2 linked regions of the Sus scrofa genome follow. The protein of the gene in region 2 interacts with the protein of the main gene of each other region in a biochemical or structural test. Links are inferred from orthologs where the notes say so. Each region holds a gene or a part of one and is shown on either strand. Other genes may lie near its edges.

Region 1 (4,152 bases), on a different chromosome or scaffold from region 2:
GCTTCTTAGATTTTCCTGCCATAGTATCCACTGATCTCCTTTTAATCATATATGGGGGGAAATATGACTTTAAGGCTATGGAAGTTTTGTTCATTAATCTTAATTCATATTGATTCATATTCAGGTGAATATTGTACGTAAAGGGTGTTTTAAAATACCGTAAGGAAATAGAAAATAAGCTATTTTTTATGTTTTCAAGAAAGGCTCGCTCACACTCATGAATTTGTTGGAAAACAGTGCTTCTTAATTATATACCATTATAATTATTAGATATGTGCAAGCCTTGTATATTAAATGTTAGAATTTGTTAAGGCACATATTGCTAACAGAGTTTTATTTTAATAAGGTCATATTGTTTTTACTATATTTAAACATTCATTTCTAAATGGAGCACATAATTATATATAGATCACTAGAATTTTACTCTGCTTTTTGTTGGCTACCACAGCTTGGGAAAGAAAGAGATGAACATTAATGACCATCTAGTGGAGTTTTTTTGTAGTACATTACTCTTTGCTACATCTATCAACAGTAGTACAAGGTGGTACTTCAAAATAACTGCATCATCATTAGAAAAATAAAAAGCATGACTGTGCGAAGCACTTAAATGGTAAGATGATGTAGTCTGCCACTTGAGTATCAGTTACGTTAGCAGTGTGTTAAATGACTTATGCACGTTATTTAATACTAAGGACACCTATATAACGCATAAACATTATTACTCCCAATTAACAGTTACAAAACTGAGAATCAACATTGAAGTGCTTGAACAAGATCACCGGGCCAGTAAGTGGGCGGATCAGATTTTAGACCTTGAGAAACTAGTCAGTCGAGCTAACTGGAGGTCCTGAGGCTAAAGGCCAAGGTGGCCCACTAATAATTGTTAAAATTTAATTTAGTTTATTCTAGAGACAGCCCTTGCTCTGAGACAGGGACCCCCTAGTGGCTCCGTTTAAAGTCACAATAAGCTTAGGCCCCGCCTCTTTGCGCAGCGCGGGCGTACTTCCTCCTGCTGCTCACCGACTTTTCTTCGCCCCGCTCCGCCCCTGCTCGGTTTCCTTCGCGGCAGCCTTCACTTGCCTGCGACTGTGTCGCCCAGCGTGACGTCACGGGCCTTGGCCCTTATCATTGGTCCATTTCAATAGTCGCGGGCTACTTGAACTGCAGGAACAGCTGCCGCTCCGGCGGGCTGCTCGCTTCATTCCGGGGGCGTCCTTGACCCTGCACGCCCGGCAGCGCCTGCCTCCGGCTTTTGCAACCTCCTTGGTCCTGCACGATCCTGAGCAGGCGGGCGGGCAGGCTGGCCCGGGCTGTGGCGGGTAGGTAGGGCAGGAGTGTTCCTCGGCGGGTCGGCGGGACGCAGTGCACGCTGCTTGGCGCCGCAGGCTGATCCCGTCGCGCCCCCGGGAGCAGTGATGTTGGGCAGCTCCGCGCCCGGGCCTGTGGCCCGCGAGGCGGGCTCGGCGTTGCTAACATTGCAGCAGACGGCGCTCCAAGAGGACCAAGAGAACATCAACCCCGAGAAGGCTGCGGCCGCCCAGCAGCCCCGGACCCGGGCTGGGCTGGCGGTACTGAAGGCCGGGAACTCACGGGGTCCAGCGCTGCAGCAGAGGCCTAAGACGCGACGGGTAAATGAGTTATTATCTGGAGGAGGGTGGGCCAAGCGGGAGTTTTGCATGGGTTTGGACCGCAGAGGAGAGTGGCGAGGTAGCATCTCCTGGGGTTTTTTCGGGAGGCCAGTGTCGGGGGTCCCTTTGACCTCTGGTTTTCTCGAGTGTGGGATGCCACATTACCCCCATTCCTTTCTCCCATTAGTCTCCCTGCCAGCACTATGCGTTTATGTTGCCTGTCTGCTCTATGGAGAGTATTTTGCTATAGACAATAATGGTCAAACCAAATCCTCCGACGTTGAGTATGTGTTAAGTACGGTCTTTGCCGCCTCCGCGCCTTTCTCTCAGCTTTTAGGCCCCAGGCATTGCCCGGACCTCCTTCATGCTACCCACATAATTAAGAGATTACCTCTACTTTAGAAAAAGGTATAAAAAATACTTTGCTTTTGGACAATTCCGCCATCTTACCGAATTTGCTCTGTTGCTCCACCCTGGGGCGAAAGAGGTAAACCACTTTTTTGCCATTTCTCCTAAATTTGGCATCTTTTGGCCTGCCCCACCACCTATCTTAGCCCTGATTATTTTTGTGTAATCCGTTAGTGTGACTCTAAAACCTCTGCAGGAACGCATACTCAAATTTCCTTGCCTGAATTTTGCCCCATAAAGTTTAATTTTCCTGATAGAGTATTTGGAAGTAAATGCAGTATAAGGGGATGAAAGCCAAATTCCATTTAATAGACTCAAAGCCAGTTATTTATTTTTAGGTTGCGCCTCTTAAGGATCTTCCTATAAATGATGAGCATGTCACTGTTCCTCCTTGGAAAGCAAACAGTAAACAACCTGCATTTACCATTCATGTGGATGAAGCAGAAGAAGAGACTCAAAAGAGGCCAGCTGAATCTAAAAAACCAGAAAGTGAAGATGTCCTGGCTTTTAATTCAGCTGTTACTTTACCTGGACCAAGAAAACCACTGGTACCTCTTGATTACCCAATGGATGGTAGTTTTGGTAAGTTTTAAAGAATATCTGTATCAAATAAATGTAATCATAATTATTGCATAGGTAAGTTTAGAAAGGCTGTGACTTATTTCAGGCCTCACAGTTTATCCATGACCTAGTGACCTACAAAAGGATCTTAATCCTATACTCTCTGGTACACTATTAATCACATCAGTTTTATTAGATCTCAAACACTTACTTTAATCTGACCCTGGACATGTTGCTTGATTGGGAGAATATATTTCAATTGTATTCTTAAGATTCACTTTGTATATACCATTTCAAAGAGTGCTATTTGAGGATGTAGTTTAAATATTGTGATCAGGAGTTCCCGTTGTGGCGCAGCGGAAACGAATCCGACTAGGAACCATGAGGTTTCGCGTTCAATCCCTGGCCTTGCTCAGTGGGTTAAGGATCCAGTGTTGCCATGAGCTGTGGTGTAGGTCGCAGATGTGGCTTGGATCCCACGTTGCTATGGCTCTGGCGTAGGTTGGCAGCTACATCTCTGATTAGACCCCTACCTGGGAACCTCCGTATGCAGTCCGGTGAGGCCCTAAAAAGACAAAAGACAAAAAATAAATGTTGTGATCAACATCTCTTCCAGCTTTAAACTTTTGTTTAAAAGCAGTCTGAGTGATTGACTGACACCAGGGAGGGACATGGTTATCCTGTGAGTCACAGTTGAACTATGCTTTTTTGTACATTACCACATATAATAGATGGGCTCACTAAATCTAGTATATTTTAGTTCTGTCAATGAGAGGTATAGCAGGGAAGTCCTTTGAAAATAAAATAATTTGTGTACTTTTATTTAAAATGTACAGGAGTTCCCTTGCGGCTCAGTGGGTTAAGGATCTGGTGTTGCCATGTTGTGACTGGTTACAGCTGTGGGAGGGTTCCATCTCTGGCCTGGTAGTTGCCACATGCCCTAAAAAGACCAAAAAAAAAAGAAAAAAGTAAAATTTACAACAAATTTTAACCTCAGATTAAACCTTGAAGTAAAAACATTAATAGCTGATACTTTTTGCCTCCAAAGATAATCTAAATTTACAACAAAGAATCTCCCCTTGATTGTAGTGTTAATAGGTTGGAACTGCCCATAACAAATATAATTCTCTTTAGCACACATTAGCCTTCTAGTTACCGTCTAGATTGTGCTTTGAATACGTCAGACTTTGGGGTCTGTAAGCTCCCTTATGACAAATCCTAGGTATTACCTCAAAACTTGATTTTAACTTATTCTGACAGAACCGTTGTACTCCTGTCATGGGAGATGAAGGATACTTTAACAAAATATCTTTTCCTCAAATTCTTTTTCCTGTTAATGGCTTATCAGTATTTTTTTTTTTTTCTTGTTAAAATCATTCCAAAGCTAGGTGGACAGAGGTACGAAAATCAGAGTGAAATCCTCTATGTATTTTGTCATAAGAAGCTCTTTTTAGTTGGATAAAATAAATGCTTTGGTAGTATGGGACTCCTTACAAGGACAATCACTTTTAGCTTTAATTAGATAGAAAATTAAAAGTAACTTAATCTTATTTCT
Region 2 (4,041 bases):
ATAACTTCCCAGGCTTGGTAAACAGCAGAATGAGGATGCAAAGCCAGATTTGTCTGACTCCACCACAATCCTTTACTGCCTTTCTAATGAATCCAACACCTAATAGAGATCCCCAGACGGTAACCTGAAGGTTCTCTTTCCTAAAGAAAGAGTTAAAAGCAAAAAAAAAAAAAAAAAAAAAAAAAGTTTGGGATGGAAATGCTGTAAAATTTGGTTGTGATGACTGTTGTACACCTATAAATGTAATAAAATTCATTAAGTAATAATAAAAAATTTAAAAAAACTATATATATATATATATTATTTTTTTAAAGTAAGCAAGCAAGCAACCAGTCAACCTTTCCTCAAAGAAAGCCAGATGGGGAATTTAGGTATATACTTATTTACCCTCACTCTGCAAGTCTTCATCTTTATTTCTTGTATCTGTCTCTTCTTCTATCACCTCCAGTTTCAGCTTAGAACAAGATCACCTCTTCTACAGACACTTTCAAAGCCTCCTAACTCTGTCCACTCACATGTTCGAATCTATTCAGAAGCTGACCACTGCCTATCATCACTCCCACACCTCTCAACAAGGCTCTGAGTTTTTATTTGCAACACCCTACAGTTTCATCTCAACACATCAGTGTGTCCTTTTAAAAGGTCACGTCACAACTCCGCTCAACAGCACCTCTAGCCCATCTCCCACTACCTTCTCCTTTGCTAATCCACTCTTGGAATATGGCTTCCACGTAGTTCCTTGAAAAAACATGACATTCCTATGCCCCAGGGTCTTTCCACTAGCTGTTCCCTCTGCTTGGGGTTCTCTTCCCCAAGGTATGTGCATGGCACATTCCTTCGTCTCCTTTATGCTTCTGCTTAAAGCTTGCTGTCCAAGTGAAGTTTTCCCTTAACGCCCTGCTTAAAATTGCAAACCAGCTTCCCACCCAAGGACCTCCAATCCCTTTTGGCTTGTTCCATTTTTGCTTTTATCCATAGCACGTATTCTAGTATACCATACACCAGATTTATGTTTCCTGCATCCTCTCTCCGAAGCAGAAACTCCACGAGGGTGGAAATGTTTTTGTTTTGCTCAATGCTATATCCCCAGTACCTAGAACAATGACTAGCATATAAAATGTGCTCAGCAAATATTTGCTGAATTAATGGTTTACATGGTTTACCAGCAAGAAAAACTGATAACCCCAGGTCAGTGCACTGTTTACCCTATGGCTTTGCATACTCCTGGAGTTCTGGATCCACTCTGGGAGGCACTTACTCATCTGCCTGAGAAGCCTGGTAACAGAGAGCTATTAGAGGGGAATGACGTGGTGCGTTTTACATTTCAGTCAGTCCACTCTGGCTCTGGGGGATGGATCTGGGGAGGATAAGGCTGGAATTATGAGTCCATTCCAATATTCAGATGTTGACAGCTTGAGAAATATTCAGGACACAAAAGGGAAAGATGTAATGATTGGATGGATGTTGGGGTTGGTGGGAATCTGACTGATTTTCAGGTTTGGGGGCTGGGCAATTGAACAGATAACACGGGCAGTCATGGAGACAGAGCATACCAGAATAAGCCCACTTGGGGATGGACCCGGGAAGAGAAGTCTCTTCTTCCACCTAGTTCAACATTCACTTTAGCAATCCCTTGACAAATAAGTAAAGTTGATTTTGGCAAAAACCTCAACCAGAGCAGCAGAATATAAACAAAAAGAATCCTAAAGGATCATTTCTTTGTTCTCATTTGTCAGTGGCACTAAGCTGGCCTTAGACCAGGCAGAGTCCTTCCTAAAGAGAAAGGCAGGAACGGATTCTCCTGGATTCAAAGTCTATTGTGCATCTTAAGATATACAGCTACCAACATTTCTGTTAACTTCTAAAGCAACGAATTTTCTCATCTCTTTGGAAAATAACTTCAAAATTAGGCAATTTTAAAAGCGCTCCATCCTAATGATCCTTAAACAAAGGTTTACCAACAAAATATTTCAAGCTACCACTTACTGCACCGATAGTTTGACCCTCATACCTTACCTGGAAAGTTCTCTCGATTTAGCTTAGGTCTGCGGACGATCACAAAGTCCTTTTCATTCCCTTTGCTCTTCAGCCGTTTTCGCGGAGGGCTCTGCGGGTGGCCCAGGTTTGAAAGCAGTTCCTGGGGGATGTTCTCACTGTCCACCTCCTCCTTCTCCAAGGCAGAGACCCCCATGCCTGAAAGCAGTTCAGAAGTCTTGCTAGAATCCCATCCCCACGTGAAGCTGGTGGTAACGTTGCTACTCTGGTCGGGAATCTCCTGGAGGTGCTTCCTGCAGATAAGCACAATAGCCCCCGTTCCTTTAAAAAACACACCCGTGAATAATTCCAAACAGGCCTAAAGGAAGCTGCAACTTATGCATTACCGAAAACGCTCACAGCAGCTAACTGAACTTGCATTTTAAGTGCCGGCGGCGAGTTCCCAAGAATGAAAGAAAAAAGAACCAAACACACCGAACAAATCGAAAAGGCTTTTTGATTTACGATCATGCAGAAGGCCTCAAGAATGTCTCAAAGTGGATGGAACAGATAAGAAGAGGGCAATTATACAGTGATTGAAAACAGGAGCAGAAAAGCCCAATAAGGGAAGCCAAATAATATCGCACGCTGATCACAGCACTAAAGCATCCACCCATCCACGTTTTCCCAAAGAGGAGGTTAAGCAACCATTCACATTGCAGCATTACAAACAATATTAGGAAGTAGCAAAACTCGCGGCCTAAAAGAATTAAGATGGTCCACTCACGGTCTGCCCCTTTCTGCAAACGGTTTACCTGTGCATGGCGTCCGCAGGTTCGGGAGTTTTAAACGCGTGCATTAATTGCAGAGGTGCCCGCCTCCCGGATTCCCGCTTTGGCGCGCGGCGGCGCACTGCGTGTGGCTCCAGCCCCCAGCAGTGAGACCCGCGAACTCTATCAACGTTCCATCCCCACCGCGCGCGCAGAAAACTTCTGCCCGCTCTCCTCCCCGCTACCGTCTGCGGCCCCGCTGCCTTCTGGGAATTGTAGTTTTCTCCCTGCCTGGCAATCCGGCTGCCTCGCCACTACTTCCTTTCCTCGCAGCTTTCCCCGCCTTCCATATACCCACAACCCCCCGCGGTTGCGGCACTGGACGGCCCACAGGGTAGGCGGGGAGGCGGAAGTGGGCGGTGCTCCAGCCGACCGGGCTATGGCAGCAGCTTGACGGGCGACAGGTTTTCTTTTCCCGGGAACCCCTAGGCCTTCTGGTGACAGCCACCGCCGTCGCCAAAGAGCGTGGGTTCCAGACCCCAGACGGCTGTGGCGGACAGGGGGTTTCCAGGTCCTTCTGGAATCTGTCCGGCGAGATCGGACGGTGAGCCTGAGGGGGGAGAGCCTGAGACATTTTGGGATCTGGGGCCAAGTGCAGGCGGCGAGAGAGGGACCCACGAGACCCCGAGAGGCCGCCGCCGCGGGGCCTACGTTCCTGGCCGCTGAGTGGAGGCAGTGGCCCGCCCCGCCCGCCAGGTGAGAGGTTGCGGCCGCGGGCGTCACACCTGCCTGTGTCTACCCCTCCGCCGGGAGCTGCTTCCTCCATCCGGGAGAGGGCAGCCCTTAGGATTGGGTCTGTGGACAAGATCCTTTCCTGATCTGTAAAATAGGCACTATGGCAACGAAGGATTATTTCACATCTTGCCGCCGTCAGGGTCAAACCAGAGGAACATGAGTGAGAGCATTTTGTAAGTGAAGGCGCAGTTTGAGTCAAAGGTGGTGGTTGAATTTTAGGGGATCAGGAGACCGCTGTGTTCCTGTCCGCAGTGGCAAAGCTGAGCATCCCTTTGCAGCCTTGAGCAGTCTTACAACACTAGCATGACTGTATCCGTATACGCTAGGGGCCACTAACAAAGCCTATCGGTTGCTCTCTCTCGACCGGCTGCTGCTGATTGCCTAATCTCTGAAAAGCAGGCTGCTTTTGCCTACCTCCGCGGAGAAGAGTTTGGAGATGGTTAGAGAGCGTGCCATATTCCGAGTATGATGACCGGGCGAAATCCACTGTGCAAACTGTACT

Evidence for each region.
Region 1: the proteins of SKP2 (region 2) and CCNA2 are reported together in a solved structure, tested with the Homo sapiens proteins (2 studies listed by BioGRID, with this or other methods). The link is inferred for Sus scrofa from reciprocal best matches to the Homo sapiens genes SKP2 and CCNA2.

What each region holds. Positions count from the first base shown.
Region 1 is NC_010450.4:102,258,999-102,263,150, forward strand, and holds the start of CCNA2 (cyclin-A2), read left to right. Parts: upstream 1-1,347; 5' UTR 1,348-1,415; coding exon 1,416-1,628; intron 1,629-2,374; coding exon 2,375-2,618; intron 2,619-4,152. UniProt on the Homo sapiens protein: Cyclin which controls both the G1/S and the G2/M transition phases of the cell cycle. Functions through the formation of specific serine/threonine protein kinase holoenzyme complexes with the cyclin-dependent protein kinases CDK1 or CDK2.
Region 2 is NC_010458.4:21,462,034-21,466,074, reverse strand, and holds the start of SKP2 (S-phase kinase-associated protein 2), read right to left. Parts: upstream 2,806-4,041; 5' UTR 2,798-2,805; coding exon 2,790-2,797; intron 2,289-2,789; coding exon 2,017-2,288; intron 1-2,016. UniProt on the Homo sapiens protein: Substrate recognition component of a SCF (SKP1-CUL1-F-box protein) E3 ubiquitin-protein ligase complex which mediates the ubiquitination and subsequent proteasomal degradation of target proteins involved in cell cycle progression, signal transduction and transcription.